Caenorhabditis elegans: one gene and its partner. The protein of the gene in region 1 interacts with the protein of each later gene in a pairwise test. Each region holds a gene or a part of one and is shown in the gene's direction. Other genes may lie near its edges.

Region 1 (3,537 bases):
ATACTCGTTATTCTGAAAAAAAAAACATTTAGAAATTTAAATAGATGGAAGAATTTCCCGAACCTCCGCGAGTTGAGCACCGATAGCTTTTCCCATGGAAGTTTCGCAGATGATGTCAAGAGTGCAAAGGGTGATGACGGAGAGAACATCAACTTCTTCACTGAAATAAAACGTTCGAAAGAGTTATGTAAGAATTAAAATTCTCACTCTGCTACACCGAGGCAACACAATTTCTGAATCAAAATCTTCGATTGCTCGTTAAAAATCGGCAAGAAATCCTTGAGAATATCATAATGGAAGGTTGGTGTCAATAGTTTTCGCTTTGGACGCCATTGTTCCTTTTGGCTCGTCAAAATACTGATTCCAAGCCATGGCTCAAGCAAAACGTATGCGAACCCTTTGTTCAGATGTTTCGTGGAAGAGAAAATAGGTTCAACAAGATCGGCAGAGTAGAGCATAAGACATGGGAATGGACCAATCCAGAGAAGACACATCCGTGGATCTGGATACAAATATCCCATTCCAATCACTTGATTCATGAATCCCTCTGGATCGGGCTTTGTGATGAGTCCGTGACCGACGATTGGGTATGATCGTGGTTGGTTGAGGTGCTGAAAGTTTATTCAATTTATCTTTAAATGAATTTTGCAATCAAACCTTCAAAACTTGACGCATTCTCAAGTGTTTGTAGATAAGCCAAGCAATCACCGTCGCCGAAGCGAGAAGTACAGCGGGGATGATAACCCCCATTGTAGAATCTTCTGAAATAATTTATTTGAGCGAAAAAAACGAGCAAAAAGCGTTGAAAACTCGAGGAAAAGCCTGAAAATCGCAACAAAACAAACGTTTTTTGATTGAAAATTCAAATTTCTCCCACGCTTTGTCGAGACCTATGTGAAAATTGTTATGCGCCTTTAAAGAGTACGGTAACCCAGAAAAGACGAATTTTTTTGAGAATTATTCGTTTCAGCTTTTTTTAAGACGAGCACAAAGCATCAAAAGCGTTTTAAAAATAAGAAAAACGTTTGTTAAATTTTTTCGATGCTGAAAATATTAAAAAATCGCAATAAAAAGAACGAATTATAAGTAAAAAGTCAAATTTAACTTGCGTCGTGGTGATAGCCATGTGAAAATCTTCAGGCGCCGCCTTTAAAGAGTACGGTAGGCTTGAGAAAGTTCTCGAACGAATTTTTGTTGTTTTCTGATATTTAAATCTTGATTTAATTATTAAAAAGTTCCAATCACTGTTAATTTTTCATTAAAAAAAGTGAATAAAACAAATCCAAAAGTATTTATTTTTGAATGAATATTGTAATTTTTATGAATGATCTCCCCGCGAAAAATCAGCGCAACAATTTCATTATTTTAGGCCCAACAAAATTTTTTGATCGTGTGAATTCTTCTTCTTTGCTGATGTATTAAGCTGATGCTCAGAGAGATTTAATGAATCTTTTTCATAGCTTTATCGGTAAATTATTCTTAATCTGCAAATCACTTGAGCACATTGTTTTCTTCTTTTCCATTAATTTTTTACACCAAAATTTTTCAGAATGTCAGCTCCATCTCGCACCGTTCTTCGCGAATTGACAGCGACCAGATACGTGGTCAACTACAACGAAGAAGATCACCTGGAAACCGCTCGAGCCGGTTGCTCTGCCCTCCCACCACAACCCAACATCAATCATGATGTAATTATCGAAGGGCATGGAGAAGACGTGGAGCTCGTCGACGATCAGAACTACCGTTCCCTGCATCGTATCGATGAGACTCCAAAGCTCGTCGACAAGAAGCCGAGCAAGACAGTCATCCGCGATGAAGCTGTCAAAGTGCTCAGAAGCATTCAAACAATGCCGATTGAAAGTCTTCGTCTCAAGCGCTACGACTTCTTCTCGCAAAGATGGTTCAACACGACCAGAGAATCGGAGAAAGCGCTTGTCGAGCACGTGCTCCTTCATCCCAATCAGCGACCACACTATTTCGCCGCTCAGTGCCGCATGCTGTTGGTCGAGGATATCTCCAGTTTGATTCTGGTTAATTTCTTGAGAATATTTTTCCTGAAAGAATTAAATTTAATCTCAGACTTCCTTCCTGGCCGAGCCGAAAGAGACGGGTCAAAATGTGGTTCGATTCGCGATCCAGGCAACGACTGAAATGCCATTCCATCTATTGTTTGCTATGCTCGAACAACTGGAGATGGAAAACGAAGGATTCCAGATGACAGACAGCTTTGTGGTGGCAACGTTGAACCGATCACAGGGCAGAGTACGAGAAACAGTTTTCTGTTTCATGCCAATAACTTTTTCAGACTACCACTCGTCACCTGCGAACCACAAACTGCCGGGAATACGGAAATCTCGAGCCAGGACTCGATTCACAAGGCCGACTGATGGCCTCGACTGCATCAATCACGTGTTCTATCCGAGGAAAGCGCCACGTGGAAACGAGGATCGTGTACAATAACAACTCGAACGCCAGGAATACTTCAGGGAGAAGTAGAGTGAGTTGAGCAGCAATAAAATCTCGATTTTCAATTTATGAAATTTTCAGTACATCGAATTGGAGCAAACAGTGAAGTGCAAGAACCGACGTGTGCTGATTGTCGAAGATCCAGTCGAAATCCACGAATTTGAGATCGAAAAGGACATGATCCCGCTGGGAAAGGGAATTGTGCCAGTCGAGGACCTGATCACGTTCCTCGAGACATTCAAACTGGATGAAGAGGACGAGTAACTCCAGACATATGTCCTATAATTTGTAATGTACATAATTCTGTATTATTGTATCAGTGGTTCTTGTTGAATATATCAACTAACTTTCCCCTTTATTTTATTTTCCTTTTTTGTTTTGGTCGTTTCCTGTATATAGATTCTCCGCTGCCCCAAACTATTTTGCTTATGTTTAACATGTATATTGCTTGAATTAACATTGCCAGAATATGAACTGGTTGATTTTGCAATCTTTTTAACGATGAGATGAATTATATATTACATTCAGTAGTTGTCTTTATAATATTTGGAATTTAAATTACTTTACTCCAAAAAACAACTTCTTTTTACTTTACTCCAAAAAACAACTTCTTCCGGTTACTCATATCCGTTTCTCCACACTCACCTTTGATCGTTTTCCAACAACTTTTCCTCCTCTCTAAATTTTGTTCGAGTTCTCACTCTCACCACGTGCGGGGCTCCAAATAACAGCTGCTGCCTCTGAAATGTCATCGCGAGGCTAAAGATTTCCATTTCTCACAAAATTTGCCGTTTCGGCATATAATCTGTGCTCTGTGTTGGCTGGCCGACGATGATTGAATTGGCTCATTGGCTCATTTATGCGTACTTGTGAGTTTTAAAAATGGTTTGCCGGTTTGCCAATTTGCCGGAAATTTGCCGGTTTTCCAATTTTTCGGAACTTTTCAATCCCGGCAATTTTCCGGAATTTTTCCGGTTTGCCAATTTGCCAAAGCTTTTCAATTCCTGCAGTTTGCCGGAATTTTGCCGTTTTGCCAATTTGCCAGAACTATTCAATTCCGGCAGTTTCCCG
Region 2 (6,218 bases), on another chromosome or scaffold:
TTTACTAAAACCGTTTAGAGATTTTCTAAATTTTTGATAATCCTGATGGAGGCTAGATATCTATGTACTCAAAGTTTTTTACTCAGAACTTTTTTGAGCACATAGTTAAAATCTTAAAACTAGTTGACCGGTTTTGCCACGAAAGGAGTGAGCTGAGAGTAATGAAAAATGCAAGACAGATTTTTTCAGACAGTGTTACTTCAACTCCTAAAATAATGATCAAGTGAACTTTACAGTCAATGTGCAGAAAAAACTCACAGGTCCACCAAGTACAGTTATTGCTCACGCAACACGAGTTGTAGTGCCACTTCTCGTAAAGGACGTGTGTCCAGTACATAAACATGACCGTGTAAACCAGTTATCATCTGCCATTGTTTGGACAAGAAAGCACCCGGTTTACTGGAACATCTGTACGGCTAAGCGCCCGCGCATGATGCTGCTCAATATGGTCAAAAGATACACAGAAAGCTAATGAGCATAAAGTGGAAATCAATCTTGATTTTAGCAGTTGGTAGAAGAAAAATGTTCAACCTCTGATCTAGACTCCAGAGTCAATGTTTGATTGCGCAAGGTACTTGGAGTATGATATAATAGTTTTGAGACAATGGACGATAGGTAAAGAGAGGGGATAGACTGTTCAACAGGTAACTAAAACGAAAATTGGAATTTTGGAATAAAAACTTTCCGAGCACAAAAATTTAGTCATTCAAAATCAGCGGCAATTATTTGTTGGCAATTATACAAAATGAACGATAGAACCATGTTTTTCCAGTTTTTTTTAAACCTAAAACAGAGTCAACATATAGAAAATTACTTGATTTATTTGCTAATTGTATTTATTTTAACTGAAACATTTGAGAAAGTTGTAAAATGACCTGAAAGTTGTCATTTCCCGGTTATCGAAGGTTCGAATTATTGAGCATAATTTTTTTTTGCAATCCACAACTTTTCAGGCAATTACTGAAGATTTTTACAAATGAATGCTATTTTCAGATAAAACAAGCGATTTTCTACATTTTGACACTAAATTTTAATTAAAAATGTTGGAGCAATATGGCGCAATAGGTCATTTTGTAGATATACACACTACGAAAACTTAAAAATTTAATCAAACTCAAGTGATCATCACTATGAAATGCGGGAGTGAAATAAGTGTGGTGGTACGGGTTGTGTGTGGCAGAAGCTGGTGAAATAGATATCGGTACAGGTGTAAAATGATATTCCAACTCCTGGCGTCTGTCTCCCTAACACTACTGAATGTCTCTGTATGCTGCTTCGATTCAACCCGAAAAGAAACCAGGAGCTAGCCCGAAGAAACGACGCGAGAAGGAAGGCAATGAGAAAATAATAGGCAAGTTTAGAATTTCAAACCTCGGATACTCTTACTCTGCGCTCCGGTCCAAGCGGCCTCCTCCTACTTTTTCAAGATCTCCCATTACCACTGTGTCAATTTTTTCAAAAAATTTGTTATCACACAAAAGTTCCATGAAAACTTCCAAAATGGTAGCATTGATACAGTACGATCTTTTGGTGCTCGTTCATTCCTATTCGACGGAGAAAATAGAGGCGTGGCCAAGAGCACACACACACACACTGGGGTGAGCCAACGGGGAGGCGACATTCACTGGGGGACGACAAGAGGACGACGCTCTCGGCTCACAGCACCACTCACCACCTACTCTCTTTTTGTCAGCTCCTACCGGCGCCGGATCGACGGATCTTTTAGGATCACGTCTTCTGTGATCTGGCTCATCGAACATGCAGCAGTCATATAACCCGCAAAATAGTCTGACGTAAGTTGAGATCCTTGAAGCAACAACTCGGGAAAGCTCGGGTTACGATCTTCTTTGGTAATTGTATACGTGGCAACGCGACACCGATGGGGCGGCGGTGGCGCCAAGCGATAGTTTTACTTTAGAGGATTCTTTTCCCCCTTCCACCGTCTCAGTCTTCGAATGAGTTCGTTTTTCACCGTGGTGTTCTTTTCCTTAATTCAAGGGGATTTCAATTCAAATCAGGAGTGTGGAATTCCAAAAACAAAGATCGAATTCGACGAAAAGTTGATCCAATATATTCCTTCAAAATTTAGTTCCAAAATATGCAAAAATATTTGTTTGATTCGAAAAAATGTTCGAATTTCAGTTTCAAAAAGTTCGGCAAAAACTCCAATTTTTGAGCTTCTCTACACAATTTTAAATGGGAGCGAATGTTATTTTCAAATCAATCAAATATTTTTCTATATTTTGGCACTACATTTTATGAAAAAATATAGAAACAACTTTTCGCAATATGCTATTTTGTAAAACTGCCTAAAATAATTATAAGTTTTGCCCCTCCGAATTTTTTAGTGTTTATTTTTTCCAAGTTACGTAAAAACTTTAATTTTTTGAATTTCCAGAGCAACCACATCCTACTCGGAGCAAGAAATTGTGTGTATTTGTGAGTCCTTATTCAACGAGGGACTTCAGACAGGACGGACTGAGCAATTGGTGAGTTTCTTTCAAATTCAGATCAACTTTTCATTTTTTATTTTGTTGCGAATTTTGTGGGTTCCGTCTCTTTTCGCTTCGATCATCATTTTCTCCCCTACCTCATCATAATCTTCTCCTTCTTGTTGCTTCGAACGCAGGTGTCATGTGTCACTTATCAAAAGTTTTGACAAACATTTGACGTAGTCTCTCACTGAAGATCATCTCTCTCCCCCTCTTTTCTCCAATTGCTTGAATTTTGCGGTTTTGAGTTTGGAAGAGTCGAACGATAAAAACGTGAAGCAAAAAGGTGACAGAAGGAAGCGAGTACGGTAGCTGCCGCACGCGCGCTTTTCCCTTTTTCTTTCTAGAAAGCAAACAAAAGTCCATTATGGATGAAAGCTTGATGATGATGACGATGTGGGGAAAGTGGGAGCAGATGTTGGAACCTTATAGAGACAGAAATTTAGATTTATTCTAAATGGGGATACCGTTTTGAACTTGCAACTTCTGTGCTCCACTTTGACACATTATATCTTGCCTTTTTTGATTTTCATCAACAAATTGTCAACTGACAAAATACATAGAAAATATTTTTCTATAACACATTTTGACTTTGAAATTTTTTTTGATAAAATCCATCACAGATAAGATATGAGCCGTCATAGTAAAGCAATGGAAGAGAAAGTCTAAACAGGAAAATAATACATTTTTTAAGGTCATCAATGCAACGTAATCTAAAAATTAAAAAAAAAAAAACTATCCTATTAATATTTAACAAGGGCGTCAGTACGTTGTTCTGCAAAATTGACAAAACTGTCGAATTAGTTATGGTGGTCCAATTTTTGAAATTAAAAATGCATGTCAAAATATAGAAAAATTCGATTAATTCGAAAGCGATATTTATTTTCTTGAAAACTTCATAGAGACTTGCTTCAAACTATTTGTAAACTTTAATTTATTTTTCTTGAAACGGCAATTTTCAAGTACTATTCGAGATTTTTCGCAATTTTTTCAACAAACATGAGTAACATTTTCGATTCAATCAGGTGTTTTCCTACATTTTTATTAATTTTTATTCAAAACTTTAATACAAAAAGCTAGATTTTCGTACTGAAAAAAGCAGCTTCAAAAAAAAAAAATTAAAAATTCTATATTTCAACTTTCAGGCCAATTTCATCTACAACCTTCCACAATGCTACCAAGTAATGGAATCAGTTTTAAAAGCACAAGCTCTTGTGTATTTTACAACACAAAACTGGAAGATGCTCTACAAGTTACTGGAATGCAGCAAGTTTTCCCCACATAATCACACAGTTCTACAAAATTTGTGGCTTGATGCACATTATAAAGAGGTGAGTATCGGAAGGATTAGGGTGTTAATACTTGACTGATCTGGGGACCACTTGTCCAGTTCAATAAGCCAACGTTGCATAATATTATATCATAGTCCGCGAATCTGAGATCAATATTAGCTAACCCAAAGTTTACAGGCTGCGAAAACAAAGGATCGGGAGCTAGGAGCGGTTTGCAAATACCGGATCCGAAAGAAGAACCCATTTCCAAACACAATTTGGGATGGAGAAGAGACAAATTATTGCTTTAAGTCGAAATCTCGAAATGTTCTTCGGGATGCTTACAAGAAATGCCAGTACCCATCAGTAGAAGATAAAAGACGATTAGCTCAACAAACTGAATTATCAATTATTCAAGTTAGTTTTGAGTTCAATTCGTTACTTATCCAAAACACAAACTTTTGCAGGTGTCCAACTGGTTCAAAAACAAGAGGCAACGTGAGAGGGCAGCTGGTCAACTCGATAGGTGAGTATGGTCCTCCTGGCGAGTGGGGTTGTAATGGTCTGCATGCGTGGAGTTGGTGTGTGTTTAAGCTTGCGCAATCGGACATATTACTAAGGATAATCTAGTAACTGCAGTCAAGATTTGTCATAGAGAATGGGAAAAAAGATGAGGTGCAATAAGTTGAAAAAGGAAAAAAGTTTACTTGGAATGGGTCAAAATCGATTTTTTTTTCCAAGTATGCCACTATTTATTAACGCTAGAATTTTTATTTATACTCAAAATTTAATTCTCTTTTAAAAAACATTATGTTTCAAACAAGCAAAGTTAATGTGATTTTACGGTTGCCTTTAACTAATTTGACTTTGAAATCAACATTGATATAAGTTTTAAAGTGAAATAGCTTCAAAGTTAACAGAAAGGTTTTTCAATTTAATATAGTTTTCCGGAACAAAAACACCTACTTTTTCCCTGTCAGTCGTTTTGGTTCGCTCTTTTTTGACAGCTTGTATCTCGTTTCTCTTTGATTTTATTTAAAAAATTATCCACTGACAAATTATGTATCAAATATTTTCCTACATTTTGACAGAAAAGTATTTTTTTGTCGAAATGTCAGCTGAGATTTAAGCTGTCAAAGTGGAGCAATGGAAAATACGGTAAAATTCAAAGTTTTGAATTTTTTTATCGTTTACATAGTTGTAATTTATAATAGTTCCATCTTTTATCTCCACCTCCTACCATATCCAGCTTCTCGTTCGTTCAAAAAAGGTGCAAAGAAAGGGCACCCCGCTGTCATTAGTGTTTGCCCAAACTTTGCAGTAAGAGTCGTTGACACGATCCTGTCGCGGCTCGAACAATACGCATTGTTCGTGTTGTTGGCGGAGATCCTCTTCTTGTTCAGAACATATGAAGAGCTTCTCAAACAAGACATAGAAGCGATAAGTTTTATGACCGGGGAAGGTGTCAGTTGGGAGAGTTTCTTTGAATGTAGTATGAACAAAAAACTCGGAAACACTCTTTCAAGATGTCCCAATATCAAAATATCTATGTTTCAGAAGCTCCGCCAGATCCAACGACAGTGACGATGGATCATCTGGCTGTGAATCAAAACCTCCGATGAATATTGACAGCCCTGCGCCTCCGCCATTACCAACTTCATTTGATCTACAACCCTATTATCCATCACCTTACACATTTGCTCCACATTGTGACTTTTCATACATTCAGAATTTGTGATGACTGCTTTTCCCCCTCAAGACCATTAGAATAACTTTTAACTATATTTTTGACATACCTTCCCTGCCATTTCAAGTACTCTAACTCATCGGTTCTTCCAAACTTCAGTTTTCTCCCAAAGACAGTATTTTTTGATATTCATAATACAAAATATCTTTAATCAATAAATTATATTTTTTTTTACAACAAAATGAAAAATACTTTTTTTGATGGCACATGGCGTTGAGTGGGCAAATGTTTGAAGAACACGTCTTCCCAATTAACAGTCTCGTTGTGCTTTTATAAGTATATTCAACTTTCCGACGACCGTCTGGGCATGTTACATTGAACTCCGATCTCAGCTCTTCTAAAAATGAGAATTTTCGAATGCCCTTTTCCGCTTGTTACCTAAATCTTTTGATTGACAGCATATTCCTTTTCTAGTACAATAATGAGAATTGATTTTGCTTGTTTTCCAATTACAATCTTTCTGAAATTAAAAAAATTATATTCGTAAGAAAAACTATAAATTCTTACATGACTTGCGCATTGCTGGGGTATAGCCGGATTTCGATGAAATGGGCATCCTTTATAGTTGCCTAAAAAAGTTTTTTACATCATGTTATTGGAGTTCCAATAGCTTGAATGAATCATAGCGGCAGAATCAATCAGCGCGGGGCCGTTCGGCGAATTTATTTTCCGGCAATTTGCCAAATTGCCGGTTTGTCGATGTTCCGG

The links. Proteins that work in one complex are often made in the same cells at the same time.
Region 2: the proteins of memi-2 (region 1) and ceh-34 interact in a two-hybrid assay, tested with the Caenorhabditis elegans proteins (one large-scale study listed by BioGRID).

The regions. Positions count from the first base shown.
Region 1 is NC_003282.8:13,398,519-13,402,055, reverse strand, and holds memi-2 (MEiosis-to-MItosis transition associated), read left to right. Parts: upstream 1-1,549; 5' UTR 1,550-1,550; coding exon 1,551-2,030; intron 2,031-2,079; coding exon 2,080-2,262; intron 2,263-2,305; coding exon 2,306-2,497; intron 2,498-2,547; coding exon 2,548-2,730; 3' UTR 2,731-2,988; downstream 2,989-3,537. Other genes in the region: cyp-31A5 (CYtochrome P450 family), read right to left, coding at 1-12, 64-160, 208-611, 658-750.
Region 2 is NC_003283.11:5,314,977-5,321,194, reverse strand, and holds ceh-34 (Homeobox protein ceh-34), read left to right. Parts: upstream 1-1,617; 5' UTR 1,618-1,758; coding exon 1,759-1,793; intron 1,794-2,398; coding exon 2,399-2,489; intron 2,490-3,637; coding exon 3,638-3,823; intron 3,824-3,961; coding exon 3,962-4,180; intron 4,181-4,230; coding exon 4,231-4,289; intron 4,290-5,320; coding exon 5,321-5,501; 3' UTR 5,502-5,605; downstream 5,606-6,218. Other genes in the region: C10G8.2 (BPTI/Kunitz inhibitor domain-containing protein), read right to left, coding at 5,606-5,847, 5,889-5,970, 6,018-6,079. UniProt on the Caenorhabditis elegans protein: Acts as a transcription regulator. Binds to the sequence motif 5'-TCAGGTT-3'. Binds to the cis-regulatory element of proapoptotic factor egl-1 gene and together with eya-1 activates egl-1 expression to promote motor neuron M4 sister cell apoptosis.